Linked DNA regions of Struthio camelus. The protein of the gene in region 1 interacts with the protein of each later gene in a pairwise test. Links are inferred from orthologs where the notes say so. Each region holds a gene or a part of one and is shown on either strand. Other genes may lie near its edges. The genes, in order: ARL6IP1, SHMT2, ACSF2 and SUCLA2.

Region 1 (7,538 bases):
CTCTCTTTTTAATGAGTGCAAGAGCCAGTCTGAAAGTACCAGTTGTGTGAAGATGACTGAATTCCGCCTAAACACCATGCCAAAAGTGCAAAATTGCTAACATTTCAGAGAAGTTGGCCCAATGGGAACAAGCTTTCTGTCATAACTTAAGACCATAATAGCATTGCTGTTGGCTTAGGGAAAAAAGCCACAGAAGATAACCAGATCTGACTAAGTAGCATACAAAGGGTGAGGGTTAAATACGTATAAAAAAAAGGGAACAGCATACAGCTGAAGGTGCTAAGAAGCTACAGCAGTCATCCCTGACAAACTTTTCCAGAAAACATCACCTCTCCCCTCACCCCCAGCACTTTTTTTTTTTTTTTTTTTTTTTTTAAGAAGTCTATAGCTAAGACATTGAAAGGAAGTACAAGATCTGAGTGGGATGAGAGAGGTGTTAGTTCTTGTTCCCAGTTCTTTTTTTCTTTTCAAGAAAGTTAACATGCATTAAGGAACAGAACTTGGAGTAAGAAAGCTTCCCATTAGGTTTTTAAAGAAAACGTCTTAGTAGTTTTCTTAACACTTCTGCCACTAGCCATGAGAGCACAATGCTGGTCTATGCTCCATGAGCTACTTACAGGAAAGAGAAGGAAACAACACTCATCAGTGCAAGAGGAAACCAGGCTCTCTCCCAGCGAAGAATTTTATCAGTCATCAAAATCACTTCTCCCCATCCTTGCAATTGCTCTTCTAAGCTAGCAGTTTCTGCAGCCTACACAAGAAGAGAGAAGAAAACTTGTTATTACTAACCAGAATATCACACTAGCTCCTGTATGTGAAGTATCTAAAGAGCATATATTAAATAAAGACTGCAGTCACAAATCCTTCTGTGTATTTACATTGCTAATGATGTTGTAAATTGCCTACCATATGATGACACTGTAGCAGTGACACTTTAGCATAAAGTCAAGACTCCAGCAAAGTAGCAGCAACTCTCAACTCAGTATATTAATTGGTACAAAGACTGAGGCAACTCTCCAGTTCACTTTATGCACTTTGCTATATATATTTTCCAATGATTGTTTAACCATATGCATGTTCCCATTCTTCCTCTCCTTCAAAGCCTTTTTTTTTTAAAAGAATTACAAAACCTGTTAATATAGAGCCTAACAAAAAGTATTCTTCTATAAAGCACTTATGTCATATCCCAAATTGTCTATTTCAGTTTTCCACAATTCAGTTTCCACAAGTTGCCCAAGACTGTGACAAGGGGACCTTTACACTCCTTCCTACACCAGCAAAGGCATCACATTATGCAATTGCTCTCAGCATATCTTTTGGATCTGCTCCAGCATAAGCTGGCTGAGCAGCTGGCCCGAGGAGTGCCAAATTTACTAGTTTGCCCTCAGCGGGACAAGAGATCTCAGATTACAAAACTCAAGTAACCACAAACAGAACAGACTATTTCCTACATAGCAAGAGGTTAAAAGTCATCAAGATCTGCACATCTGCCGTGCAGAGATGTCACAGCAGGTTTAATTCTCCAGTGGATGATACACTTACCTCAAATGAGAAACCTGACACCATTTCCCAGGATAACAGAGAGAGCTGCGTGCAGCTACCATGGTAAAGCACAGTTCTCTTATACAATACCATTGTAAGCTATTTTAAAACTACACTTACAGACAAAATAGAGTGGATAGCTATCTACCTGATATGCCTTCGAGTTATCACATCTATTTCATGTTTTATAGAATATAAACCCCCATAAAAATGGAAAAAAAAAAAAGCTGCATTTCTCCAGAAAGCATTTTACAACAAACTGTTTTTCTTTATTACTTCCAGCTGTCTGCCACTAACAACACAGTCAAAAGAAAATTTAATGGGAAACAGTTTGGAATATAACACAGCTGGTAGTAGCAGTCTGCCTCTGTCAGCCTATGAGTACTGTAACTTGTTTGCCCACAGGGCCAGGTAGAAAAAACTTACTATGTCAGTTTTGTCAACAGCAACACTATTTAATTCCAAAACACGTCCACCAAAAGTGATTTGTCATTAACCAAAGAACATTAAGTTTCCAGAAACATGAACTTCCATTCTGAAGGGGGCATCTCTCTAGACCATAGAACATGTTTTTGGCAACATAGATCTGTTTCTTTTTCCTTCTGAAATTTAAAGTTTCTTTCCACTTCTAAGCTACTGAAAGAAAGCATCAGTTCTGATTCCCTCAGTATCTCCTAACTGTCCAGCTTCCTGTTCAAAAAAACATTAGTAGGCACTCCACTCAAAAGTCTCCTTTCTTTCACCCCTTCAGCCCCACGCTTTTACAGCAGTCTCCCCAGCACCCGTTGTTCATCCATAACAGAGACGGACACAGTCACACCCTTGGCCAAGGCCACCTTTTACGTGCTTTAGTTACATTAATTATCCAGCTCCTGTCACTATCTTCCTGCACCTTTTAAACATCTAAAACATAGCCAAAGTATGTCGAAACATGAAGATATGAACGTTAAACGTAAGCCTTGCACATCAGGTAAAGCGAGGCATTATTACGAGGCTGGGAGCAGCACAGCAGCAGCAGTGCCGTTTCTAAGCGCGGCGCAGAGCTGCCCTAGTCGAACTCAGGCTCCGCCAGGCCCGAGTCCATCCACGCACGGCAGCGGCAAGGCGAGCGCGGAGCTCACACCGCTAAGGCGGCGGCCGCCGCGGCCAGGCCCGGCCAGGCCCGGCCCGGCCTCCCCGACCCTCTCCCCCGGCAGGGCCGAGCGCGGCCGCCAGCCAGGCCGCGGCGCGGAGAGGCCACTCCGGGCCCACCGAGGCCCTTCCCCAGCCAGCGGCCTCGCCACCGGCGGGGGTTGATGGCCCGGCGCCGCCACCGCAACACCCCGCCGGCCCCGGGAAGGAGCGCGGCCCCTCACCAGCTGGTTGCTGCTCTTATTGTCGCCCTCCGCCATCTTGCGCCGCCCTCGCGCCGCCGCCCCCGACCGCGCCCCGCGGCGCCGCGGCGGCCGCCGCCTCTTATAGCCGCGGTCCCCTTCCCCGCCCCCACCTCCCGTCAGACCGCGGCAGCTCTGCCCGACATCGCGATTGGCCGGCTCGAAACGCAGCGCGAGCCAATCCCAGAGCGCCGGCCGGGTCTCACCGACGGCCGGTTGGCCGGTGGGAATTTGAATAGAGAGACTCAACCAATCAGCCTGCGGCATCCGCCCCTCCCCCACCCCCCCCTCCGTCGCAGTGCGACTGCGACAGGAGCGGCCGTTAACGGCCCGGCCGCCGCAGGGGCGGCGGCGGCGCCTGGGCCCGGCGGAGCCGGTCCAGAGCGGTGCAGGGTGCCGGGGGCCTGCGCCCTCCCAGGCGCTGGGCAGCACGCTGGAAAGCGAGGAAGCTGCTCAAGGGCCAGAGGCGTCCTGGGGACGGCAACCCAGCAAAAGCGCAGTCAACATCTGAGACGTAACTGCAGTGTTGTTAATGCTGCTTAGTCAAAAAATAATTGTCTGGGCTCAGTACACACCACACTGATTTCATGGTAGAGGCACGTGCAATGTGTTAAGCAGACGTTTTATTTAGCCGTCTTAATCCCTGTCCCCTTAAGACCTTCAAAGGGAATCTGTTTTTATTTTTAAAAGTCTTAGCCCTATAACATAAAAACGGGATTATCAGAAGGTATTAAGTAAAAGGCTTCTCAATGTGCTTTTTTAAAATGTTACCTTTGCTTGTCATATATAGCATGTCTTAAGAATAGTACTGAAAACGTCCAGAATGTTTCAAGACTACTAAGTACCCTGCTGCAGCTGAAATGTCAGAAATGTCACCAGAAGATCTCACTAACAGAAACTTTAAGAAAGTTGGCATGTCTTTAATAGCATATATATTTAAACTGATTGCCTTTGACTAATGTGAAACAACCAGTATGTCACCTCTAAGAAAGCTAAATCCAGTTGCAAGAGATGCCTTCAAGATTACCACACAGGAAGCAGATGAAATAACCCATAGCTCCCTGGAAGTTGCACTAGGTCTGAAAACCACAACTGACCTAGGCACCATAATTACCACCAGGAGTCTAACAACTTGCTTTAATTTTTTCATAAGCTGTAGTAGCACAGGAATAGACATGGGAGAAATGCACTAGGGTTGTTTTTTTTTTTTTTTTTTCCCGACTCAATGTCCTAATACATGCATGACTGACACATTTATGAGCTTAATCACAGCCGCTAGGATGTAACGCAACTCCAAAGCGAGGGGCAAAAAAAAAAACAACCAACCAAACAAAAAACCTGCATTACTCTTCTTCCACCTCTTCACCTCGATTCACGAACTTGACACAGAGCAGAAAGGGGACAGTGCTAGCTTTCACCTGTCTTTGATCTTCCAGAATCTTGAATGACTTTGAAGAGCACTATAAGGAATAGATACTTTACTGAACAACTTTCAAATTAATTTACTTGCCGTTCCTAAAAGCTGAGAATATCTTTGTGTATAGTTTTGCTCTTACCTCAGAAACGTTGGGTTCCACCCTCAAAATCCATTATTGCACTACAGCAAGCCTCAAACAAAAAATAATTTCATAAGAAAGTGGTGTCAGCACCAATTCTGATGAAAGTCTTTTGAGAAAGCAACGCACTGCGCTTCTACTCGTGACCATGCTGTTATTGTCGCAGCGTCCTCAGTAGGGCCAGCCAGCCAGCTCCTACTTTCATCTAGTTGGATGATTTTCACCACAAAAACACAGCAGTCATCAATAAAAAAAGCAGATGTTTTCTATCATCTCCATCCCCACCGCCAGATTCATTGATCTCCCAGGTGGTCTTTCAAATGCCAGTTCCCAAATGAGACTACAGCTCCAGCTTTTCTCCTGACCCAGTGGACCCACACAGGTCTCCCTCCCTTGCGTAAGTGCTCTTCTGCACCTGGGGTGGGGAGGGGGAAGGGCAGAGTGGGTCTCCCAGGACATCCTCGCTGTCCAGGAAGAGCATCAGTTCGGGCTCGTGCCCTAGAGCAGAGAACGCAAGAACATCAGGCTCTGCCAGGCCGCTCAGTGCTCTCCTGTGTGAACAGCCAGGCCATGAAGCACGATGCAAATCCAAAAAACAGGTGCATGTGTGTGCATACATGTATGTGTATAAATATAAATACAACATTTGTTAAAACTCCTAGTCCTAATACAGGACTAGGATACAGCGCTATCAGTAGCTCAGAGTGTGGAAACCCAGTCAGGCAAGTCTGTTCTTCACTTCCCACACGTTACCTGAACTAATAGAAAACCAGTTGTTTCCTATATGCTTCTACATATCATGCAGATAGTGCTGCAAGGTAGAGGCACTGTTCATACACTGACATTCTCACACACAGTTTGCAGCAAGCTTCAGACTTGCTCACCCCTTCATCACCCCTTCATCACATGGAAAAACATAATAAATGCATCTAAAAATGTTTTTCCCTTATGCTATCAACAAAAAGACAAAGCCGGATAGAAGTGAAAAAATGATCTGATTAGCTACACACTTAGGTACACACAAAAGTAATTTAATATTTAACATTTATCTAAATTTCTTAAAAAAAATGATATTTCACTAAAATGCTAATAGTGCACTCCTGAATAGGTATTTTCCACTAAAGAAAAAATATAAACTGCATATGATACTTGCGTACCCATGTGTTTAAGAAAGCAAAAGCTAGATGAATGGCAGTTCATCTTAAATGTTTTTTCCTAGAATGATATTTAATCCATAGAGGGGCATGCCTGCTAATTCAGAAAAAGCTTGCCAAAAAAGGGGAGGGGCAGGCAAATAAACTTTTGAAGCACCTGAGCGTGCTAAAACAGCAAGGCCAAATGTACTAGGTACAGTACACTGACGAAAGGAAATGGATCTTCAGGACCACAATGTTTACAAAAATTAAGCTTTAACTCTTCAATCCCCTCCAGTATTTTTGGCATAACATTTGTATATGGTGCTTTTCCTTGAGAGATCTCAAAGCAGATAACGTATTTATCCTTTGTTAACTGCTTTGAATAGAAAGCAGACAGCTATGTGGTTATTGCAGGGGCTGCGTTCACGGTCACTGTGATTCCCACTGTGGAGTCTGCACAATGAAGCATGCTTGTTTCCCAGGCAAGACGACATAGCACTAAGTCTCACCAATGATTCTACAGAAACCCAATTCAAAGCCTTCTCCAGTCAAAAATGAAAAATGTTTTTCTCCACCTGCAATGTCTCAAAACTCTGATTTATATAACAGACTTGAGTTTGTTACAGATATTTGAAAAATTACAGACGAAAACATTTTAAAAAGAATAATCACCGAATGCAAAATTGGATGTTAAGAAGGAAAGAAACAGATCATGAAAAAAGTACTGCAAAGCACTAAAAATTCCATTACTGTAAGTATTTGCTACGATTTCAACTTGAGTTAAACTAACCTGACATGCCACTGAAGACTCATTTGCTTAGGCCTAAACACACTGCAATAACCTATTAGGTAAAGCAGTGCTTCTACCCTGATTTTAGAGAAGGGGAGTGGGAAGATAGACAAACTAGTAACTGGAGTCCCAGAAGGCGAAGAATATCTCAGCCATTAGACTATACAGTTGAAAGGAGGCAGCAACTTAAAACTGCTGCACCCACTTCAAATTTGACTGCAAGGAATTCATTTATAGCATGATCCCTTGGTTAAAATTCACTGCAGGTGAGCATCATGCAAAAACACTGCCATCAGCTGAACAGTTCAGCTTCTATTACTTCAGTTGATTTACGTGTGTGTACGAAGATTTTGATTCTAGATTTGCATTATTCTAGGTTTTGTTGCAGCAACAAAGTTGATGTCTCAGTTTTACTGAAATAAAGTAACTTTATGTCTTTACAGGAAAGAGATTTGTAAAGAACAGTCGTCTTTAACATGCAACACGCATGCACAAAACCTGCTTCAGAACTCTATTTTAGGTTTAACAAAGACTGAAAGAAAAATGTGTTTTTGACTTCAACACATAAAAGCTGACAGTCCCACAAACTCCTGAACAGGTAAGCTGTCTCCTTAACATTACACACTTAATTCTGCAGAATCCAGTCCTAATCTGGGATTTATGTACTAGGCCTTTTATTCTTCCTCATAATTTTCAAAACCACCAACAGTTTTGCATAAAAGGAAAATTATGAATACAATTTTTTTTTAAAACTTTATTAAATTATGCAGTAAAGAACCCATCTCCACACAAGTGTTTCATTTCTGGACAGCAGAGGTATAATACATGAGCCACAGGTGAGTGCATTACCCCTCCCTTCCCCCAACTTCCAAGAAATAAAACAGCATGTATAATACACTCTTATTACTATGGTACTCCAAACAGATTGTTCATAAGGTTATTTTTAACTGGAGAAAAAGTAAAAAGGACCAACAGTGTAAAGTGTCTTGTTCTGCACATGAATGTTCTTCACTGCAACATTCAAACACCTTCTTTCTTGCAATACATGGCATGGCAGAGGGTTCAGGAAGCAATGACAGTGGAATGCATTTGCACGAGTATCATTAAATATAAAGCCTGTGACTTCTCTGGAGTTAATCAG
Region 2 (6,911 bases), on another chromosome or scaffold:
CGTTCTTCAGTACCTGCTGGCAGTACTGGTGGAAAGCAGGTGAGCTGGCCTGGGAGGACAGACTACGTCAACAGGGGCACCCACGTCACCTCCCTAACCCCGAGCCCAGTGCCCCCCTACACACACCTGTTTGAGGGCCACAGCCACTGCAGCAATAGCATGGTTGTGTGGTCCTCCTTGCAGGGAAGGGAAGACAGCAAAGTTGATCCTGTCCTCCAGGTCATAGTGCATCTCCTTGCCCGTCTTCTTGTCTACCGAGCGCACGCCCTTGCGATAGAAGATCAGTCCTGACCTGTTGGTGAAGAGAGCGTTCACAGGCACTGCTCCACCCTTGTGTCTGCTCAGCCCCCATGAAGCCAGTAGCAGAGGACTCAGCCCCTCCAAGGGGCAGTGACCTAGACAGCTACCAGCCCTCCTCAGGGACTCCCAGGGCATTATCCCTTCTGTCCCAGGACTGGGTTGGGGGTCTGCCCCATAGCCAGCCCATGAAATAAAAGCACTGCTTCTACACCCCCCTGCAACCACCCTGCCTGTGAACAGGCATCTTCCCGCTTGGAGAGCGAGGCAGAACGCATCCTCACCTGGCGCCACGCAGGGTCTTGTGGGTGGTGCTAGTGACCAAGTCGGCGTATTCGAAGGGCGAAGGAATGACCTTGGCTGCGACCAGCCCGCTGATGTGTGCCATGTCTGCCAGCAGGTACGCCTTCACCTCCTCGCACACCTGGGGCACACAGGGCATCAGGCAGTCATAGACACCCCCTATCCCTCCACCCCGCCCCACCCCACAGCCAAGGACAGGATGCGATCAGCCTCGCACCAGCCACAGGAGTTCCCCGGCACCCCCAGACAGGGCTGGGGGAGAAGAGAGCTGGGCTCCCCCATACCTTCTTCATGCGAGCGTAGTCAATGAGGCGGGCATACGCACTGGTGCCGGCGATGAGGAGACGAGGACGAAAGAGCCGCGCCGTTTTCTCCAGCTGGTCGTAGTCGATCAGCCCTGTGGCTGGCTGCGAAGGACAGACGGACCAAGACCAGAGCTGGCAACTTGCTGGGGCACAGAAACCTCCCAACTGCCCAGCTCTGAGCAGAGAGCGTTTGGGGCCATGGCAGGGCTGAACCACCAGGGTTCCCAAGCATCCTGCGACACACGGCTACGGTTCGCACCGAGTGGGTGGGAAGGAGGCAGAGGAGATGGTGGAGTGGCAGCGCCTGCACTGAGGCACCCAAAAGGCCCCTGCTGAGACAGGGGGTTCGGCTAGGAGATCCCCCCTTTCCCCGGGAAAGTCTGCCCCCCCTCAACTCACGTCAAGTTTGTAGGGCATTGACTCAAAGAAAATGGACGTGGCTGAGATCCTCTTGATGTCCGACATGTACCCGTGCGTGAGGCTGTGGAGGAACGGATGGATATGCAGGATCACATTGGGCCCTGGAGCAGGTGCTCACCCCAAAAGGTGGCAGGCCCCCAGGCCGCCCCATGTGCAGTACGTACTGGCCCCCGTCGGGCAGGTCCAGCCCCATGAGGCGGTCATGGGGCTGCAGCAGGGCTGTGTAGGCAGCAAAGTTGGCTGGAGAGCCCGAGTAGGGCTGAACGTTCACTCCCCAGTGGGCTGGGTCCAGGCCGAACGCCTCCAGCGCCCGCTGCTCGCAGAGCAGCTCAATCTGGTCCACTACCTCAGCTCCCCCATAGTACCTGGAGAAGAAGGGAGCAGGTAATGGGGTGCTTCCCACCCAGGGAGCTGCCTGTGCCCCACAGGTGACCACAGCGGAGGGGACAGCCCTGCTCTGAAACACACCTGGTGTCCTGCCGCTCCCCTTCGTCTTTGATGTAGTGGGACGCAGGCTGCCAGAAGGCTGCTGATGCCCCTCTAGCGCCCTTGCTGCCTTCCGTCCCCCAGGAGCTGCCCAGCCAAGCCCAGACCCCACATCCCTCCACCCTCCGTTACCTCTTGCCAGGGTACCCCTCTGAGTATTTGTTGTTGAGGCAGGAGCCCAGGGCTTCCAGCGCCGCCCGGCTGCAGAAATTCTGGGGGAAAAGCGGGTCATACAGGGCATGCTCAGCCCCCACCTGAGCAGGGGCCGCCCCAGGACCACCAGCGCTCCGCTCCGTGCCCCACCTCAGAGGCAATGAGCTCCAGCCCCCGGCACTGCCGATCTTTCTCCTTCTGGACCAGGGCCCACATCTCGGGGTCGCTCTCTGCCAGGCTCTCCTGCCCCGTCCAGCCAGGCGCGCTTCCAGCCGCGGCGGCGGCGGCGGGGACACCGCTGTGCTGCGCCCGCAGGCCGCCGGCACCCGCCGGGCTGCATCGCCACAGGGCCTGCCCGGGAGAGCCGCGTTTGGCAGGCTGCGCCGCCCCCCCTGCCGCCCCCCGGGTACCCCCCGGGCGCCCCCCGCTCCAGCCGCCGGGCGCTGCCCCCCGCCCGGGCTCCCGGGGGCACCTGCCCGCCGGCGGCTGCAGCCAGGCAGCGGCCCTTGGCCCCGCCCCAGGCTGCGGCCGCCGGTCCCGGGGGCAGCGCCGGGGCCTCCCCCGCCCGGGGCTGGGGGGCGCCGGGGCGGAGCGGGCCGGGCCCGCCTGATGCAAGCGCGGCCGCCCCGTTGCATCATCCGCCGGTGGGGGGGGGGGGGGCGAGGGCAGCCCCGGTGCCGGCCCGGCCCCCCCCGCCGCTGCCAAAGGGACTTTGGGACCAGGCAAAGTCTGCGGGGGGCGCGGAGGGGGAGGGGGGGGCGGGGGCGGCCCGGCAGCGCGGCTCGAGCCCGGCCGGCACCGGCACCGGCACCGGCACCGCGGGAGCTCCCGGCGGGACGGGACGGGCTGCGGGGCCGCCCCGCTCGGCCCGGTCCAGTCCGGCCCGGTCCGGCCCGACTCCAGCCCCGGCCCCGCGCCCCCCGGTACCGGTGCCGGCTCCGACTCACCCTGCCCAGGCGGAGCGGCCACATGGCGCTGCGAGCTCCGCGCGGCCCCGCCGGGTCCCGGCCCCGGCCCCGGTCCCGGTCCGGTCCGGTCCGGCCCCGCCGACGCCGCGCGAGCGCTGCCGGGGGCGGGACCGGGGCGGGGCGGGAGCGCGGGGCCCGTCGGGAAGCTGGAGGTCTCGCCCCCGGCGGCAGCGGGCGCTGCGTCCGTCCGTCCGTCCGTCCGTCCGTCATCCATCTGTATGTCCCCTGCACCCCATCCCCTGCGTCCCTGCACCCCTCCATCCCTGCAGCCTGTCCCCTGCACCCCACCGTCTGCACCCCTGTACCCCCAGCCATCCATCCCCTGCACTCCGTCCCCTGCGTCTCTGCAGCCCAACCCCTGCGCCCCATCCGTCCATGCAGCCTTGCACCCCATCCACCCCCTCCCTGCACCCCCATCCCCTGCACCCCCACCCGTTCATCCCCTGCACTTCGTCCCCTGCATCTTTGCACCCCAACCCCTGTGCCCCATCCGTCCATGCAGCCTTGCACCCAATCCATCCCCTCCCTGCACCCCATCCCCAGCACCCCATCCCCAGCACCCCAACACCCCATCCATCCCCTCCCTGCACCCCATCCCCTGCACTCCATCCATCTCCTCCCTGCACCCCACTGTCTGCACCGCCGCCCCCCACCCGCAGCACCCGGCACCCCGCCGGTGGGGCTGCCCCCCGGCCTGGCCCAGCCTGGCCGTGCCAGGCGCTGCACAACGCCCAGCCCTGGCAGGGCAATGGCACCCGGGCTCCCAGGAATCCGGCCTCGCGCCGGCTGCGGACACCTGCCAGGCGTCCGTCACCATGGGCGGCAGGCACCGTCGGTGTCACCGTGCTGGCCATCATGGCCTTCGGCATCAGCACACTCCTCAGCAAGCTTTCCAATTTTTTTTAATTGTTTTTTAATTTTCCACTTTTTCATTTTGATTTTCTTAAAAAAATATGAAGAAGTCTGCCCAGAGCTGGGTGAGAGCAGGGGCTTGTACGTGCCGAGCCCCGAGCCCCAGCCCCAGGCACGTCCCTCTTCACCGCGGGGTTGGCTCGGCCGGGGTCGGCAAGCAGGGGGCAAATCTGGGCGGGAGACTGCAAATTTGGGCTGTTTTCTCCCCAGGTGGCAGAGGGGGAATCTCCAAGAGTTGGTCTGGTGCCCGATGTTCCCCCCGGCCTGGGTGCTCCCCGCCAAGGGGAGGCAGAGGGGGCTGGGGAAAAGCTCCAAAATACCCGGGACGGGTGTCCACACGCGCACAGGCACCCTGACTGGCATGCACATGTGTGGCTGCACATGCAAACACATAAGGGTGCATACAGGTGTGCACGCGTGCATCCGGGCACATGGAAGTGTGTACATGGGCATGCACACACAGAGGGGTGCACTAGAGTGTGCACACATGCATCCACATGTGCACACACATGCAGACCTCATACAGCTGCAAAAACAGGATACAGCTGCATTCCCCCCCCCAGCTGCAGCCAGCTGTGAGCATGGCCACATGCCAGCGCCCACCCCCTCCCCCCCCATCACAAGCCAAAACCTGCCGCCAGCCCGGTGCCCACGGTCACCCCTGCCTGCCACCCCCCCCCCCCCACCCCGCTGCAGGGCCGGGTGCGCGAGCCCGCTCCGGGACACCGGCATGGCCTCACCACCCCCCCTGCCCGGGGCCGTCAGCCGAAGTAGGGGTTGTCGTGCTGGAAGTTGTAGTCGGGGCAGACCTTCTGGACCAGCTTGTAGTCGATGCTGAGGAAGGAGATGAAGATGCAGATGACCTTGAAGGGCTTGGCGCAGAGCCAGGCGGCGTGGCTCTGCGTGTGCTCGGTGAAGCACACCTTGGAGGGGTCGTAGAGGCAGGGCTTGTTCTTGCGCGCCCGGTTGGTCTTCTCGTACTCCACGTGGCAGTTGAGGGCCTTGGGGCGGCCCTGGGGCAGGGTGCTCTGCGGGGGCGGCGGGTGCGGGAGCGCAGCGGGTGCGGGCACCAGCACCTCGAAGCCCACCGCCTTGGAGGGTGGCACGATGCTCACCGAGACGTTGCCCAGGCTGGAGGAGTTGTGGCGGAAGTAGACGCTGAAGGTGCCGTTGATGTGGTCCACAATCTTCCCTGTCACCAGCAGGCTGAACTTCAGTGTCTTGATGTTGAAGTAGAAGTCGCCCCAGCCGAAGATCTTCTTGGCGCGGGCGGCCTTGAGCGAGGGCTTGCGCCGGGCCCGGGGGCTCGGCACCCCACCGGCCGTCTGGTTCCTCTGCCAGTCCCAGGGGCCATGCGCGGCTCCGGCGGGCTGCCCCGCACCCTGTAGCAGCTCACCTGGCATCAGCCGCCCGGGCTCCAGCATGGGGGGCTTCAGGCTGCCGTAGGGCACGTCCTTGAGGAGGCCAGAGGTGCCCAGCTCCAGGTAGCCCAGGCTCTTGGTGATGTGGCCCTCGGCACAAACCATCTGGGGGGAGATGGCAGAGGCTGCGCGAGCCTGTGCCCGTCACCCCTGCACTCAGCCTGCCCGGCCCCCCGGCCCCACCTGCGCTCGTGCCCCCTCCTGCGCCTGCAGAGCCCTTGCACCCACCATGCCCCCCGCTGCATCCACGCACTGCTCCTGTGCCCACGTGCCCATGCACCTCCTCTTGGAGCTGTGCACTCCTGCCTGCATGCACCCCTCGCACCCACCACGCGACTCTCTGCACCCGAGCGCGCCTCTCGGACCTGTGTGCTCCTGCAGTTACACATCCCTCCCGCACTTATGCCCCCCTCCTGCGCCCGTGCCCGCCTCTGGGACCTGCGCGCTCCGGCGTCCACCCAGCCCTCCTGCCTGCTCTGCCCCCTGCACCCATGCACGCCTCCTGCCCGCGGCGCCCCAGCCATGCCTGCGTCCAAGCGCTGCGTCGCCCTGCCCCGGCCGCCCGCCCGTCCCTGTGCAGCCCTGGCCGGGCCCTCCCCACGTCCGCGTGCCGGGGCTGCAGCAGCGCCCGTCCCCGTGACAGGGAGAGGCAGGACAGCGGGCAGTTCATTACTGCCTGCCCCGCCACATCCAAGGCCTTTTGAAATGCCGGGGCTGGGGGAAGCTTGTGCGGAGAGGCGAGGGCAAGGGGGAGGCAGGCGAGCCCCGCGCCGCCTGCCAGGGAAGCCTAATTGCATTACGCAGCGCCTCTGATCTGCAGCTGAAATTACAGAGCCCCCGCCAGGCTGCACGGCAGCCGCTCCTCCCTGCCGGGTAATTGCACCGGGGCAGCTGCAGCGCAGGCTGCGTTGCTTGCGCAGGGCGTGCACGAGGCGAAGCGGAGACCCTCGCTCTGCTGGGAGGCGGGAGTCTGGGGGCGCTTCCCACCTGCTGCCGGGGCAGGGAATTAGCCGCGAAAGCAGAAAAGGCGGGTGGCAAAGGGGGACGCGAGCGCTAGACAACCGCAAAGCCCCTGCACCGGCAGGGCGGCCCGGGGGCCCCTGGACTGGAGCCAGCGGCAGGCAGAGGCAAGCGGCGGTAGCCGGAGGCAGGCAGCAGCGGCCCGGCCCCACGGCCCCTCCAGGAGGAGGTTTGGCCGGTCCCACTGCCAGGACAGGCACCAGGCAAGCTGGCAGTGGTGCGCAGGGCCAACAGGCGCCTCTCCAGCCCCGGCGGACGCGGCCCCCACCTGCCTGCCCGGCCGGGCCCCCCCCGCAGCTGCTCCCGGCCCCGGCCGCCAACGCCGTCCCGAGCCGGCAGGCGTCCGTCCGGGCACGGCGGGGACACGCGGAGGGCGTGGAGCGGAGGCGCCGGTGGGGTTGTGCCCCAGGGGAGAAGCACTTCAGTGCTGACTCCAACCCGCCAACCCGGTGGGGCTGGAGGGAGGAGCCGGGCATGGCTCCAGCTGGCCATTTCTGCAGTGAGCCCGTCAGGTCTCATGCCATCAGCGCACGGGGCCGTGCACCCTACAGAAGACAGAGCAGCACCCTAGGAGCCTGCCTAGCCGCAGGGCACCGGTGCTCACCCCCGCTGAGCCGGCACCTCCG
Region 3 (7,729 bases), on another chromosome or scaffold:
AAACGGTTGTTCAGAAGGTCCAAGTGCTGCAGATTGACCAGGCGGCCAAAGTCCAAGGGCAGTTGTTGAAGCCGATTTTTACTCAAATCCAGTTTCACCAGATGCATCAAACTACAGAAGTCCGACTAAAACCGAGACACACACACACACACAAAAGTAGAAGCAGCTTGGCATCACCTTTACAAAGGAACCCCAGCTGAGAGTGTGTCGAAATATCCTTCACCTTATGTGATAAAGCCATAATCCTTAACACAAAACTGTGTGATGGAGGAAAATCACCCTCTTCCTCTGCCTTGGAAGACAGAGGTAGAAAACAGTGGGACACCCCTGTTTCCTAGACAAGGTGATATGCCGCAATATATCTGAAACAAAACTGAGCCTCTATTGCTGATGAAAGTGGTTTGTAAAGTTGCAGGGATCCTTTGGCAGGGAAAAGGATCTTCAGCTTTTTCTCTCTTATTGCATTATGCCTGCCTCAGTAAAAACTACCATTAATACTAACCCTTAATTGATGGTTTTGTCATTCAGCCAACCCAGGAATGAGAGAAGTGCTAGTTCTAAACCTCCTACTGAATCTCTATTGAAGGACTTTGTTTTTTTTTTAAATATTATTTCCTAACAGATTTGCCTCATCTCCACAAAGGCTCCCTAGCATCTTACCGGCAGAGAAATTAGGTTATTACAGGACAAATCCAATATAGTAGCTTTCGGAAGGGCAGCCTGAAAGAGAAACAAAGAATTAGATCAAGCTATATATATATGTATATATGTGTATGTATGTATACACAACAGTGACGTTCTAGCATGCTGGTTTTGTTTTGTTTTCTTCCACGCCAGTTTGCGAACTCCTCAGCAGTTGCCACCGAGATGACGTTTCATCTTAATTAAGCCCTGGTTCACAATTCTGGTTTTAAAAGATACTGCTTCGGAAATGGAGCAGACGCTGAGGCTACGCATCTAGCTCGCAGAGCCCGAACACCCTCGTCTCGGGTATTTTAAATGCCTGCAGGCCAGGTGACGAACAACTGCCGCTGCGGTGCGCAGCTCGTTCGCTGCAGCGGGAGACGCTAGCGGCGCCTCTTGAGGCGCGGAGCGGCGGCCGCGGCCGCGGGCGGATGCTCACCAGCTCGCGGACCGGCACCTCGCTCAGGTCGCACAGGCTCAGGTCCAGCTCGTTGCCGTCCAGCTTGTCCTTCAGGTTCACCCCCTTGGCGGCGCCGCCGCCGCCGCCGCGCGCCATGGCGCCCCCCCGCCCTCCGCGGCACCGGGGGCCGGGCAGGCGGCTGCCGCGGGCGGAGGAGGGCAGCGCGGCGCGGCCCCGCCGCCGCTCCCCGCCAGCCACTTCCGCGTCCACGTCCGCGCTCGGCCCGCCAGCGCCGACGAGCCGCCCCGCGCCCAGAGGGGCGCCGCGCCGCGCCGCGCCTCGCCGCGCAGCGCGCCCCCTGCCGGCCCGGAGCGGCCCGCCGCCGGGCTCGGCGGCCCCGGCCCATCGCTCCTCCCGACGCAGGCAGCCGCTGCACCTCTCCTGGTTCCTGCCCTACTCGCTCGGTGATTGCAAGGTCATCGTCTGACCAGTGGCCTTCTCTTTGAAACGTTTGAAACTGAGCAGCGTGCTCTAGGTGACGCTGCTTGAGCAGGGGGGCTGGACTAGATGATCTCCAGAGGTCCCTTCCGACCTCGGCCGTTCTGTGATTCATATGCAGAGAATAAATAAGATGTCTCACTGCTACCCCACAGGCTGGTCAGATTTACACCTTGTCATTTCACCGTTCACACTATGTCCCATGAAAAACTAAGCCTTTAACGAGCAGTAATCCCAATATGAACACAAAACCCAATTCATGCATGCTTTCTTTACAAATACTAGACATTGTTGCTTCCTGCTCTTCATAGCCTCCATAATTACTGAGTGCTGGACTGGCTTTTTGTTGGCTTATACCAAGATGTCTCTCTTTACCAGGAGGAATTTGCAGTAATGTTCCTGCTTTGATCTGGAAGCTCGGATACAGCACAATCAAAGTGTTCTTTCACCTTGACTGACCCACTGTTGAGAAAGTCAGTGAAAGAGAAAAGCAGGCTGAGGGAGAGCCAAATTAATATTACCCAGTAATGGGATTGCAGTGAATGCTAACCTTGAATTTTTTGACCCCTATGCAAAATGTGATGCACTGGACCTTGCAAAGATGTTTCTAACTAGTTCAGCACATCTACCCCATGGATACTTTTGAGTAGGGTTTTTAAGCTGTCGCTAGGTGTCTTAACAATGCTGAGATAATCAAGATCTCTGGAGTCTCTGAGCAAAGGCACCACAAAATAGCAAACAAGGATCTGCCACAGAGTCTAATAAAGGCTGCCTAAGATCAATGCACTCTCATTCAGGAGATTAGAGAAGTTGCTAGGAGCAGGTTATTGTGCCTCCCACCGGTGACTGAAATTGCAGAACTCACACTTGAGAAAAGCGAGGTCTAGTTATGCAAGAATCTCTCTCTTCCCTCAGCTTTTCAAAACAAGGTTTGAAAGGCCAGAGGAAGACTTGAGCCAGGGACCGGTGGGGAAATCTCGCATTTCCAGATCTCCCACCATGGGCACCCAAGTGAGGCAGTCAATTGCCTCACTCCCATGTTAGTCAATGTGGGACTCACATGTCCCCTGCCTCCTCCTCAACCTGATAGGCACCATGGCCGTCTTAGCAGGGGCATACACAGTCCTGCTCCTGAGGGCAAAACTCGCAGGCGTTTTGAGGAGACCTGAGGCAGATCTTGTACCTGTATAGAGAAGGCCTTTGTATGTGGAATGCTGCAGATGACTGGGAACGTCTGAAATCTAGACCCTTGTAACTTCTGCATAATTCTTGGTTTAATATGTATCTGGGATTCACCCCATAGGCTAATCCTCTAAATGTGGGAAGATCAAACTGAAACTCAGCTTTATTTTTGTTTATTAAAGGTGGGGGTTTTGGATCACTTTTTTTTTTTTTTCTTCTCGTCTGTGGTTATACAACACCGAGCACACTTTGATGCTGTTGCAATACAAATAAATGTAATTGCACTGTGCTTCGCCGAAATAGTGAAGGGATGACTTTTGGCCATGAACGTCAGATGGCCTTACATCATTTACACAAATCCATAAACTCTCCTATCTGTTGATTTTAGTGGGACTGGCACATGTCAATATATTTACCTGGGCATGTCTAAAAAGTCTTAGAACCTACATGAGACAGAGAAATCAGGGCATATTTGTTCACTTTGCAGGAGGAAGGATGGAGGGAGAAGTAGGGAGAGGAATTGCTGAATGAAGCTGGATGAACACTGTCAATCTAATTTTTGGCCCTGAGTGCCTGAGAAGATTCCCAGACTCTCTTCACAGCGCTGACCTGCCTTGCCCAGTGTCCCATGTGCAGCCATGGCCAATTTTTCACTCTTCAAAGTCAAAAATCTCCCTTCCCCCAACCAAATAGAACGCTATCACGGCTGCCACCAAACAAACTCATCTTGCCTTGTGAACAAGATATGTGTCAGGGGAAAATCCCTCCCGATTCTAAAACCAACTATCTGAACCGTGAGGTTCGGTTATGCAGTCAGCATTTTACTGTGTGGCTGTTATTTATAAGCGTATTTTTGGCTTTGATGTCAGGGATACACCAATTCTGAGGCCAAAATTGATATCCTTGTTCATAAGCTCCATTGTAATAGTCATGGGATAGACACACTGTAAAGTGTCTCTCTGCTGAATTCTAGCTTCCACCTAGGCAGACCGAATTAAAAAGAGCAAAGAGCTGCAAAATAACTAGCCAAAGATCACATTGCAAGGTCAGTAAAGGAGCCAGAAACAGAGCCCGCATTCAGGCTAGCGCCCAGCTGCTAAAACTCCTTAGTGAATGCTTCTATGGTATTTAAAAGGTGTACACTGTTTTCTGAGATCCACTTTATCCCCCGGCCCTTTCATGGGAATTAATTAGCTTTTTGCCATGGTTGCAGGCAATGCTGGGAAAGGGTGCCTGTCATTTCACACTCAGAACAACGCGTGCGTCACCCGTTGTCCCTCAGTGTCAGCGCTGCTGCATCGGAGGCAGCGCTGCTCCTGCGCCTGGGTGCTCGAGGGAGCTGAGCGCCGCAGCGCTCCTCGGCCGGGCGCCTGCTCCTGCCCTTCCCGCGGGTGAGGGCAGCTCAGCCTGCCCCACTGGGGAGAAGGTGTGCAGGTCCCAGCTGGCCTCTCCTCTCACCAGAGCAGCCCGCTGGGAGAAGGCAGAGTTTGAGGCTGTTAGGTGGTACCCGCGCTGGTGAAGTGGATGGGGCTCAGGACTCCCAGGGGCTCAGGCATCAGGCGATGAAGATGAAGGAAAGCAGAGGGGACGGGTGCTGGCCGCCTGGACAGCGAGCCCGTTTCATTCCTCACGCCGAGGTCCGCGTCAGCCAGGCTCACAGGGTTCATTCGGGCCACACGGAAAGGCCCTGGCTGGGGTGCAGCATCTGGGGCTAGGCAGAAAAAGGCTGCTGGGGCAGCCCGGAAAAATAAAAGGAGTTAGCGGCAGGGACGGCCGGCGGGGCGCGGGGCCGGGCTCGCAGGAGCCCCGCGCCCCCTGCCGCCCGGGGGCGAGCGCGGGCCGAGGCGGGCCGCGGCGCGCACCGCCCCCGCCGCCCGCCGCCGCTGCGCCGTATAGGGCGGCGCGGGGAGCCGGCCGGGCCCGCTGTCGCCGCCGCCGCCGCCGCCGCCGCCCGCATGGCCGCCGCGGCCCGCCTCGCTGCGCTGCCCCGCCGCCGGCTGCCCCTGCTGCGCGGGCCGCGGGGCGCCCGGCCCGGCAGGTAGGGCCGGGGCGCTGGGCGCTGGGCGAGGCGGCGGCTGCGGGGAGCGAGGGAAGGGGGACTCTGGGGACAGGGGGAGGGGGCTGTGGGGAGTGGAGGCTGTGCGTGGTGGGACGGGGGGCTGGCGGCGATGGGACGGGGAGCTATGGGGGCAGAGGCTGTGGGTAACCGGGGATGGAGGGCTATGGGGAGTGGAGGCTGTGTGTGGTGGGATGGGGGGCTATGGGGAGTGGAGGCTGTGTGTGGTGGGATGGGGGGCTATGGGGAGTGGAGGCTGTGTGTGGTGGGACGGGGGGCTATGGGGAGTGGAGGCTGTGGTGGGATGGGGGGCTATGGGGAGTGAAGGCTGTGTGTGGTGGGATGGGGGGCTATGGGGAGTGAAGGCTGTGTGTGGTGGGATGGGGGGCTATGGGGAGTGGAGGCTGTGTGTGGTGGGACGGGAGGCTGTGGGTAACCAGGGATGGGGGGCTATGGGGAGTGGAGGCTGTGTGTGGTGGGATGGGGGGCTATGGGGAGTGGAGGCTGTGTGTGGTGGGATGGGGGGCTATGGGGAGTGAAGGCTGTGTGTGGTGGGATGGGGGGCTATGGGGAGTGAAGGCTGTGTGTGGTGGGACGGGGGGCTATGGGGAGTGGAGGCTGTGTGTGGTGGGATGGGAGGCTGTGGGTAACCAGGGATGGGGGGCTATGGGGAGTGGAGGCTGTGCGTGGTGGGATGGGCTATAGGGGACAGAGTCTGTGGGGACAGGGGATGGGGGGCTCTGGGGACAAGGGATGGGGGACTATGGGGAATGACAGAGAAACCATGTGTGATGGGATGGGGGGGCTGTGGGGACAGGAGACAGAAGGCTGTGGGTGACTGGGGGTGGGGAGCTATAGGGCCTGGGGGTCTATAGGGCAGGTTCAGAGTGATGTGGGTACCCAGCCAGGTGAGTGCCACGTGCAAACAGGCCAAAAACAGCTCAGGGGTGCTAGAGGTTTCACTCTTTGCATGCTTTGCTGCCTCTTGGCTCCCATAAGATCCTTCCAAAGTGGCAAGAGACAGGCTGCATCCCTTGGTCTGACCCCCAGGCCTGGTGGGGCAGGGACCAGGGTCAGGGACAGTTCCTGTGCAGCATGCAAAGAGGACATGGACATGTGTCCTGGGCTGAACTTTCCTCGTGTGACAGCTTAATCTCAACGGCAGTCATGTGAAATCGCATATCAAATAGCTTTTCCATCCCCCTTTGCCGCTCCGACTTATGGCCTTCTCCTAGCATTGTCACTGCCGTTGTGGCCATGCAGAGGCTCCCTGGGGTGCAGCTGGTGGTTGGGTGACGTGGGGCACTGGGGTGGGAGCAGGTCTCAGCCACTGAGGAGCTGCAGAGCGCTGGGGTTTGGGGGATCCAGCCAGTTCTTTGCCTTGCCTTTGTTCAACATGGCCTCCTGGGAGAAGGTGGTGGGAAAGGACAGTAGCAGAAAAATGCCTGAGTTGGGATGGGAGAGGCTTTGGAGGATTAACTGGCATTCCAGATAACTCTGTCCAGGGAGGTTTGGTTTCCAGGGAGTAACTCTGCCAAGAGCTGTAAGGAGCAAATCTTGCTTTTCACATGCAGCATCTAGGTGCTTGTTTTCAGCTGGGGTTGAGATGAGGAGTGAAGTGGTTGGTGCCCATGTGGAGCCAAGACTGCAGGCCCAAAATCTGTTCTTATGAAACTGTATCAAGAGGCAAGGCGGTAAATTCATTGTAGTTTGGACTGCAGCCCAGAACTGTAAAAAACTGAGGAGCAGGAACACAAAGTATTTGCATTAAAAAAATCAAATGTGGGGGCAGGGCACGCTAAACTCTTGCTCTTTCTAGTAACAAAAATGTTTCTTAAATTCTGCTCTTAGCAGCAAGCAATTCATCCTTTTGGCAGGAGGAGTACAGAAGGGAAAGGGGCTTAGTGGAAAAAAAATGAAAAAGTCAACTGGAATCCAGCATTTGAAAGCTCTGTTAAAGCTCTGGGAAATCTACCATTCCTCAATCCAAAGCAAAAAAAAAAAAATATCTATATATATATATATATAAAATCAAAATCTGGTTAAGTCTTTCCTACAAAAGGTTGCTCTAAAGAGTAAAGAAGAGGTAGAGATAGAGCTAACAGGGTTAATTTCTGCCACCCTTTTATTGCAGTTTTTCCAGTCCGCTAGGACCACTCTCTCCAGTCTCCTCTTGTTTTTTGGCAGCCACATTGGGGGGAAATGGGCCAGACCAAATTTTTTACCTATTAGTAGCTGTTCCCTTGGGCCTGAGTCCCCAGAGGAGCTGTGCAGGACATGAAATGCTTCTGTTTCCTTGCTCCCAATGCAGCAAAGCGCTGAGTGTGATCTCAGCGTCACTTGGGGAAAGTGCTCTTTTGCAACTAGGCCAGCAGTTGCTCTCTGAGTGCTCTAGCCTCTCCTTCCCTCCTCAAGACCTGTAGTGAACTCAGCGTGGAAGGAAGCAGAGACTTTTTTTCTCTTCCTGAGCTGGTGGATGGGGAGAAACGTGCGGTACTTAGGGACAGATTCTGCTTCCTCTGCAACTGGTGGTGACTTGACCTTTGCTTTGGAGAGGTGAGAATGTGCCACTCTCAGTGGAGCATCTTTGCAAAGTTGGTGGCATTGCCAGTTTCCTCAGCTGCCTTGGCACTGAGTGCTGCTGTGAGTGACTGGAACTGCTTCTCCAGAGCCTCCCTCCCCACAGCCTTTGGACAGTGGCTTGTCTGGTCACAATTTCAAATAGCGTAGGGTGTGGCAGTGAAAGACTGCAGTGTTTTTTGTGGCTTTCCCAGGAGCATTGTTCCTTGTCTTGGATTAGCGAGAGTTTTGCAACCTTTAACAAAGGCTTTTCTTCTGCAGAGCCTTGTTTCATCTCCTAGTTTACTTATGTGCCCTGCCCAGAAGCTTTCACACAATAAAAGATAATT
Region 4 (7,842 bases), on another chromosome or scaffold:
ATCAGCAAATCAGGAATTTAGCATATAACTACAAGCCAAAGTTCTTCCCTCCTGCAAGAGGGGAGTTGTACTCTGCCAGGACAGCACATTCACAAAACAAAAGGATTTTGTCCTTCTGCAGTGTAAACGTAGGTATCCTTTGCATCCTCTGATCTGTGGGAGTTCTGGACTAGAGAGGCCTTACCTACCACCACCATTGAAACTAGTCACACAAGATTTCCTGTAATCTAGCCTGAGATGGCAAATGTAGGATTTGCCCAAACTAAAGCGCATTACACATCTCAAAGAAGTCTTGGTACATAGAACAATTTATACTCGCCCCATTCTCTCAGAATACATTCCTTCTAAACAAGAATCAAAAGTTACAGAAAAAGCATTTGCAAAGTTTGGGGTATGGGAATGACGGTGCCTCTAATATATCTTCACATCCTTCTCTGGAAGGAGGGTCAAGTGTCTCCCAACCTGACCATCAGGGATGGAGAAGAGCTGATAAGCCATTCTCGATGCAAAACGAAGAGTGCACTTACACCTAGGTTGCTTAACTGATTTCATTGTTTGCTTGTGCACTGTGCTATCTTAGGCGTTAGAATACTTCAGATTAGGAAAATGTCAGTATGTAAATACTCAGATGTGCAAGGCAGTTTATGCACAGGGAAGGCTCTCTTTAACAGAAGGTATATTCAGAACTCCAAGAAACGTCTTACCAGGAAAGACATAAAAAGTAGTCACACCTTGTATCAACTCCCATACCTATATTGTATATGTTCTCTTTAGTATAATACCTATTTCTTTTGCTATGCTGTAAGCTTCTTCTGGTGTCCTTGCAACTACTCCATGTGGAACAGAAATGCCAGCCTCCTGCAACAGTCCCATGCTCAAGTATTCATGTAGTGACAGCCTCCTTTGTTGCTGCTGTTGCACTTGAAACCCATGATTATTGAGTATTCCTGGACTTCCACCAAGTACCTGAAGGGGGGAAAGAAAAGAATCAAACACCATGATTGTATTTTAAACAAATCATTCTCTTTCTTTAGATTAAAAAAAAAAAAAAGTCTATGTATTAAACAAGTACAGTTTAGTGTACCAGCGCAAACATCTGAACACTTAGTCCTATGTTTCTTGTACATTATCCTTCCACGTTAGTCATTCACGTTAGGTCTATGTTTTCGCTGGGGCAGAGCTGGGGCAGTTGCTAGCAGCAGCAAGAGCTGGCAGGGTTAACACACCCTTGAGTGTTTAGTTACTATTTGAGTACTTCAATGAATATATCTATAGGGAAAAAAATCTTCAGCAAGTGCAGAAGCATAAGAGAACAGAAGAATTCAAATACTAAGTAAAAGAAAACATGCCAAATATTCAGTCCAGGAAACTCCAGTGTGGAATAAGTGATTGTTAACTTCTTCTACAAAACTGATGTACAGGACTGTCAGAATTTTTGACTGGGTACTTCGTGTAGAGCAAATCCAAGGAGAAATCAATTTTGATTATAAAACACCAGAACATACTATAGTACTATATGCACAATGCCTCTTAAAAGAACAACTGCTCATGGACTTTAAGAGAGAGATTTCCAAAACATACTTTGTAAAGTAACTGTATTTCATAACAAAAAAATTACCAACCACAACAGTCACAGATCTGTGTGGCATTTTATATTTCATTGTAAAAGAATATGACTTAACTTTACATATATACAAAACATTAAACTTATTGAATTCAACCAATTTTTCTACACTGATTAGAGCCGAAAGATTAAAGGTATAAAGAGTATAAAACAGACCTGAATACAAGTAAGGCTTTATCTCTGATTAAAAAAAATATTATTGGGTAGGAGGATCACCAAAAAAAAAAATCAATCTCTACTAGCAAATTTCTAGTAGACTAGATTTTATTTCATTTTAAATATAATAAGTATGCAGACAACACAAGATCCTTACTATGGCATTTCAGGCTAGCAAATCATCAGAACCTATTTAACCTCCGAAGGATTCCTTCTGCAAGCAGCAGGCTCTTTTCTTGGCATCAAACCCAAACGAGAGGTGCTGACTGCTGTAGCTGCTGTTTCTGGAGCTGACTGACTGGCCGAGCCCTCAAAGACTGCAGCGTAACACGAGAAGGCAACTCACAGTGACCTTCCTCCCCTGCCGTAGGGGCAAGGTGGAGAGAGTCGCACAGAGGGTTATACGCTTTAGACTCACTAGCTCTCTTGTATTATTTGCCACGGGTGCTGTAGCCAAGAACGAGACCACACTCCGAAGAAGGATTCACGGGAAACAAGACCAGGCCAAGACCAAGAGGACTGCTAGGCAGAGGCGAGCTGGGAGAAGTGCGTTTACTGGCACACCCCGGTTTCGCGTGTGACTCGCGTGACGGCAGAGATAGAAATATCGGGAATTTAAAATAAGTTAGGAAAAAAAAAAAAGGGGGGGGGGGGAAGGAAACGGGAACCACCCGGGGAAGACCTGCCGCAAGCCAGCACGGGGCAGCAGCGGGGGCACGTAGATCAAAGACGGACGGATGGACGGACGGCAGCAGGGAGGGGAGGGGAAGGAGCGGGCAGCCAGCCCTGCGCCGCGGCAGGGCGGCGGCGGGAGCGCGGCGAGCCGCCCCCAACGGCCGCTCCCCGCCACCCCTCACCGGCGGCGACCCCAACGGCGGCCCGGCCCGGCCCGGCCCGGCCCCGCCGGCCCCGCTCCCGCCCTCCTCTCCCGCTCCACCCCGCCCCGCCCCGTCTCCCCGCCGCTCCCGAGCGCCCGCTACCTTCGCCGTGGCGGTGCCCAGCGCGGCGGCGCGGAGGCCGTTGCCCCTGAGCCCGGCCGACACCCGGCTGCAGATCATGGAGGCCGCCATGGCTGAGCCCCCTTCGCCCTCAGCTGCCCCTCTCAGCGCGCATGCGCTATCATCGAGAAGGTGGCGGGAGCAGAGGGAACGCGAACGGGGCGGAGGAGGAAGCGCTCGTGCCGCTCCTTTCCTCAATAACAACCGCCCGGGGTGGGGACTCTATGGTCCGCCTCGGCGGCCGTGCTGCCCCCTGGCGGGGAGGACTGCGGCAGACAGCGGGGATGGGGAGGGGACATGGGGGTGACCGTGTTTACTCTGAAAACACTCCTTCCCCCCCCCCCATATTTTAGGGTGTCTTCATACAATAAATCAAACAAATCAACGGCTAAACTGAAGACCCAATTTTTTAATACATAACTATTATTTTGAAAACCATGTTTACTCCCCCCGGTCTTGGTACAATGGTGCCAAAAAATAATTTCTGCCTCACACAGCTTAAAGGTGTGTGTCCGCTTTTGCAAATCAGCGTGCATATATTTACCCCGGTGACCTTGAGTCATTTCACTAACACGCTAATGCAGAAGACAGAACTCTCCGCAGAACCTAGGGAATAAGTTTGTGACTCACAAGGAAACAATGCTTTTTCTTTAAAAGAAAACATTATTTAAGGCAAACTAGTGGCCTGGGAAGCCAGAATGAGAAAACTTCTCTACTGACAGTAAATAAGCAGGAATAATGCAGTTATTTATACACATAATGAATTTTAAAGCTAGATCTAATCTTAAGGAAAGCAATGCAGAAGTTGTAATTTTAACGGGTGTTGTAATTGGAATCACCCAACAACTGGTTAGGTTACATTTTTTGTTCTGAAACTGAAAGCGTGCTACAATAGCTTTCCATTAGGCAAGTGCTGGAAAAGATATGGTAACTATAGTTCAGTTATTTTGCTTCTGGTCCCCCGCTGTCTTGGATATGCTTGGATATGTCATTATTTGTTAAGATTGCAGCGAACTCGGTAGAGCGCTTAGATATCCACCCGCTCTGTTCAGACATTCCTGGTATGAGCACATTTATTGAACCTGCAATAAATGCAAAATTTTGATAGACCCTCCAAAATTTCCCACTGTAGCTGGTAAAATCTGAGACATTTCCTTGGTAAACAACTTCTCTGTGCCAGAAAAAAAAAAAACAACCACCACCATTCCAACTTCGTGCTCTTTCTATGCCAAAACACCTCTCGGCTGTACACAACGTGGCTCTTCTCAGAACACCAGGCTTGCCAGTGGCTCTCTCACAGGGTAGCGCTTATATGTCATTCCCTCCTATAAGCTCCAGGAAATTTCACAACTCGTACTAGGAATCTCGCATCCGGAGACTCTCCAAAATGGCTCCCCCTCCTGGAAATAAAAAGAAAGCCTAGGTAACAATGAAACAAAGTTGCAAAGACAGTGGAACAGACTTTGGCAAAACTTAAAACATAAAGAGGGCCACCCAGAGCTACAGAGCTATGGAGACTGGAGATCAGGAAACTGGGCTTACGTCCTGACTCCTTTGCTGCTGCAAGAAAGTCAGACAAATCTCACCGAGCTGGTACTTCGTACTTACCTTTAAAAAGTTACAAGACACTCAGAGTACAATAACTACCTATATGAAGTACGTTATTATTTTCACTAGGGACGTACAGTGAACTTATTTTTCCAGTTACGTTGCTTTAAGATGAAAATAAGGGTTTTGTCTCGTACATCAGAAGAAGAAACGTTACATTTTCTTACAATATTACAGGATTTCTATAAAGGTCATGGCAGCTGCTGCCATTTTCCATAGTATGATAAACAGCCGCATGGAGAGCTCCAACTATTTGGACATCGCACTGTCTTTTTTCCTTGTTAGCTGTCAGATCTAGTCTAACCAGGATTTGTTCTAAGAATGCAAGAATTTGTGTCTTTGCTTTCTGCCTGATCACCAGTGCCACCATCTGGGCCAGACCGCCAGTACAAGGTGGTCTGGAGTTAGGCAGTTCAAACCATAAAAACATCAGTTCTTGGAAATTACAAATCCACCTTTTCTTTGCTTCCTTAGAGAAATAGGGAAAGATAATGATCTTGAGTACGACCAGGTGAATTGCTAGTAACTCCAGTTAAAGTAACTCAGATTTGCACAGGCTCAGCCAAGTTCAATACCTGGCCCACACCCATGGAGAATGTACAATTTCAGGACAGGTGAATGTATTGTAGGATTGTGATAGGTATCCATATATTTGGCCACATCCCCAGAAACATTTAAATATAGATTCCTTCCTTCTTATTCTAAGTTTAAAATGTTGAGATTTCTTGCTAAACTCAGAAAGAACAAGGATTTTTAACACAGGACTAAGGCCTTCATAAGCCCTTTCTGAAGATGCATTGAAATCTATAAAGAAGAAGGGAAAATCCAAGATGCAAATAAAGCAGAAGGAACACAGAAGTTTTAACAGAGGTCCAGCTGTCTGAAACCAAATAAATCATCCCAGAGGCTCAGGTGTTACGAACTAGATATGCATTTGCTTTATTATGGATTTACTATGTCTGCCGTGAAAAACTGGTACACTCTGACATGCTTCCCTTCATAGAAACACCATCCACCTCGTAAGCCCCACCAGGCACCGTTTAAGTGGAAAAACATTATGACAGTGGGTCTTGCCAAGGAGGTCATCTATGTGAGAAAGCCAAAGCCTTTGCTAAGGCCATGAGTTTAGAGGGCAGAAAATTTCCAAGAATGAAAGGAGGGATTGAATAGGGCCTTCAAAAGCATCCCAACAACTGTGGATGAAGCTGTACTGTGTTTCTAAGATCCCTTTAGTTCAAGGGAGATAGGAAGAAGGAGCTCACTTTCTTAGCATGGTAGGTGAATAAACTGGTTTAGCTGCAAGACCAGCCAAGGTCAGGGGGAAAAAACTGACCTGAAGCAAAGGGAGAAAATCCTGCAGTGGTGTCTACGTTCCTTTACAGAGCAGGTCTTGCAGCCAGAGTATTCACTCATGCTGGTCTGCCTGCTAATCCTGACCCATAAGCTCTGAGCTAGCCCCTCAACCATCCCCAGGCAGACCTCCTTGCACTCCCATGCACAGGGCAACTCCCCCTCCTCTGAAAGAGCCTGTATCCATCCATCACAGCATTCCAGTCATGTGAGCTATCCCACGATGTCTCTATGATCCCAATGAGATCATAGGCACTTCCTTATTTACATACATTGAGGTGATTCTAGTTTAGTCTTCTTTTGTTGATTAAGAGGTCCCTTCCGCTTATGTACAGTTGTCTGTGCTTGAAGAGGACCCCATGGTCATAGAAACGGAAATCTTGGTTTCTATGCAAAACCAGCTATGCAAGCAATTGTTGACCTGTAAGATCTGTTGCACCCTCCTCAGACCCTTCCCCCTCACTGACAGGACTGAGGAGAACATCACCTGGCCCCCATGCCCTTGACCATTACCCCCAGAGCCATGTAGCCATATTTGATACTTTTCAGGTCTCCCCTGGTTGTATCGTTGGTGCTCACATGGAAGAGTAGCAGAGGGCAATAGTCGGAGGGCAGGATAAGCCTCAGAAACCTCTCCACAACATCCTGAAAGCAAGCTCCTAGCAAGCAGCAAACTTCCCTAGATGGCAGGGCAGGTCAGCAGACAGGGGCCTCCAACTCCCTCTGAGCAGGTTCCAGTTATTCTACCCGTCCTTGCAATGACTGTCATATAGAAAAGACAATCCAGTGTCCTTCCTTGAAGACGCTCGAGTCTTCCCTAAAAGGATTCTGTCATTTTCACCTGTCCTTGCAACAGGCCTTTGTAAGCAGTCTGAGGTCTGGATGAGCACAATTGTCTACAGGAGACAATGCAAACATTAAGCACCAGCTCACCATCTCTGCCAATACAAGAAGCAGGAAACATCAAGGGAGGCTAGTAGGTGAAAGGGTCAAAGCAAGCAAAAGGAGGTGATTCTTCATGCAGTGTATAGTTAGGCTGTAAAGTGCCTTGCAGACCTCCTGCAAATCATGGAAGTTTACATGGGCCCAAGAGGAGTCTTAATAAGTTCAAAGAAGAGAAATCAAACGAGAGTTAGTGAATACACAGACACCATACTTGCCTTGAGAAGTCACTGAGACACAAATAGTTAGAGGATAGGAGAGTAGTCAAGAGCTACATCATGTTTTCTTGCCTATTACTTTCTCCACTTTTGATCACAAGGCACTGACCTAGACGGATTTTTGTCCTGAACTACTATAGCTGTTTTCATATTCTTCTGTTCCTAAGTGCCCTGGAATTGAGTACACACAGGAGGTTTATAGAGGCTGGGAAGCAATCCATCTTTGCCAGCCTATGAGTTGCCCAAGGTCACTTAAAAGCTAGTGGCAGAGCTGGAAATTAAACAGGGAGCTGTCTCACCACCTACAGTCGTTCTGATGACACAGTCTTATCTGTTCACACCAGAGCAAAGAAATAATGGACAAGCAATGAACACACCTTCCCTCGACACAGCATGGCTCCAATTTGTCCTTGTTACTTTACTGCTCTTGCATATGCACACCATTATTCTCTATGAGCCACTGTAAAGATTGTGACCGCTGTAGGGACAGGAGTATATCTCGATGAAAAAGGGTACTCTTAATGGAACCAGCACTAATGTTAATTCTAGCACTACTATAAAAAAGAAAATTCTAGTCTCAAAAAAGTGCAGTAGTTCATGATAGTCAGTGAAGGTTATAAGACTCAACTTTTATTTTTGCTCAGCTAGGCCCTTTCTAAACTACAATATTAAAAGCAAGGATTTTCTGTTCTGTGATAAGGATCTAGGCAGTGCAGAAAATCTTACAGCTCTCAAAATCCAATAAAAAAAGATAATGAAAAAACACTGTTTGGAGTTTAATATGAAGCCAGGATTGTGGAGAACTATGCAGAACATAAATTTATAATAAAGGTAAGGTCAGGGCATAGGCAAAGGTAAAATTACTTATTACTTTGGAAACTCTTTCTTAAGTAGAAGGATTGTCTGTGGAACAGTTTCAGCTGCAGGTGGCAGATTGTTATTTCTT

Evidence for each region.
Region 2: the proteins of ARL6IP1 (region 1) and SHMT2 interact in binary tests that used the Homo sapiens proteins (3 or more experiments, as listed by UniProt). The two-hybrid records come from large-scale screens. The link is inferred for Struthio camelus from reciprocal best matches to the Homo sapiens genes ARL6IP1 and SHMT2.
Region 3: the proteins of ARL6IP1 (region 1) and ACSF2 interact in binary tests that used the Homo sapiens proteins (3 or more experiments, as listed by UniProt). The two-hybrid records come from large-scale screens. The link is inferred for Struthio camelus from reciprocal best matches to the Homo sapiens genes ARL6IP1 and ACSF2.
Region 4: the proteins of ARL6IP1 (region 1) and SUCLA2 interact in binary tests that used the Homo sapiens proteins (3 or more experiments, as listed by UniProt). The two-hybrid records come from large-scale screens. The link is inferred for Struthio camelus from reciprocal best matches to the Homo sapiens genes ARL6IP1 and SUCLA2.

The regions. Positions count from the first base shown.
Region 1 is NC_090956.1:10,492,331-10,499,868, reverse strand, and holds the start of ARL6IP1 (ADP-ribosylation factor-like protein 6-interacting protein 1), read right to left. Parts: upstream 3,016-7,538; 5' UTR 2,934-3,015; coding exon 2,898-2,933; intron 752-2,897; coding exon 618-751; intron 1-617. UniProt on the Homo sapiens protein: Positively regulates SLC1A1/EAAC1-mediated glutamate transport by increasing its affinity for glutamate in a PKC activity-dependent manner.
Region 2 is NC_090969.1:174,297-181,207, forward strand, and holds the start of SHMT2 (serine hydroxymethyltransferase, mitochondrial), read right to left. Parts: upstream 3,006-6,911; 5' UTR 2,936-3,005; coding exon 2,912-2,935; intron 2,316-2,911; coding exon 2,115-2,315; intron 2,024-2,114; coding exon 1,944-2,023; intron 1,691-1,943; coding exon 1,490-1,690; intron 1,387-1,489; coding exon 1,305-1,386; intron 1,008-1,304; coding exon 885-1,007; intron 722-884; coding exon 582-721; intron 293-581; coding exon 127-292; intron 50-126; coding exon 1-49. Other genes in the region: NXPH4 (neurexophilin-4), read right to left, coding at 4,606-5,370. UniProt on the Homo sapiens protein: Catalyzes the cleavage of serine to glycine accompanied with the production of 5,10-methylenetetrahydrofolate, an essential intermediate for purine biosynthesis.
Region 3 is NC_090960.1:7,767,406-7,775,134, reverse strand, and holds the start of ACSF2 (medium-chain acyl-CoA ligase ACSF2, mitochondrial), read left to right. Parts: upstream 1-4,714; 5' UTR 4,715-4,719; coding exon 4,720-4,802; intron 4,803-7,729. Other genes in the region: LRRC59 (leucine-rich repeat-containing protein 59), read right to left, coding at 1-125, 661-720, 1,124-1,240. UniProt on the Homo sapiens protein: Acyl-CoA synthases catalyze the initial reaction in fatty acid metabolism, by forming a thioester with CoA. Has some preference toward medium-chain substrates. Plays a role in adipocyte differentiation.
Region 4 is NC_090942.1:192,086,127-192,093,968, forward strand, and holds the start of SUCLA2 (succinate--CoA ligase [ADP-forming] subunit beta, mitochondrial), read right to left. Parts: upstream 3,010-7,842; 5' UTR 2,851-3,009; coding exon 2,761-2,850; intron 967-2,760; coding exon 783-966; intron 1-782. UniProt on the Homo sapiens protein: ATP-specific succinyl-CoA synthetase functions in the citric acid cycle (TCA), coupling the hydrolysis of succinyl-CoA to the synthesis of ATP and thus represents the only step of substrate-level phosphorylation in the TCA.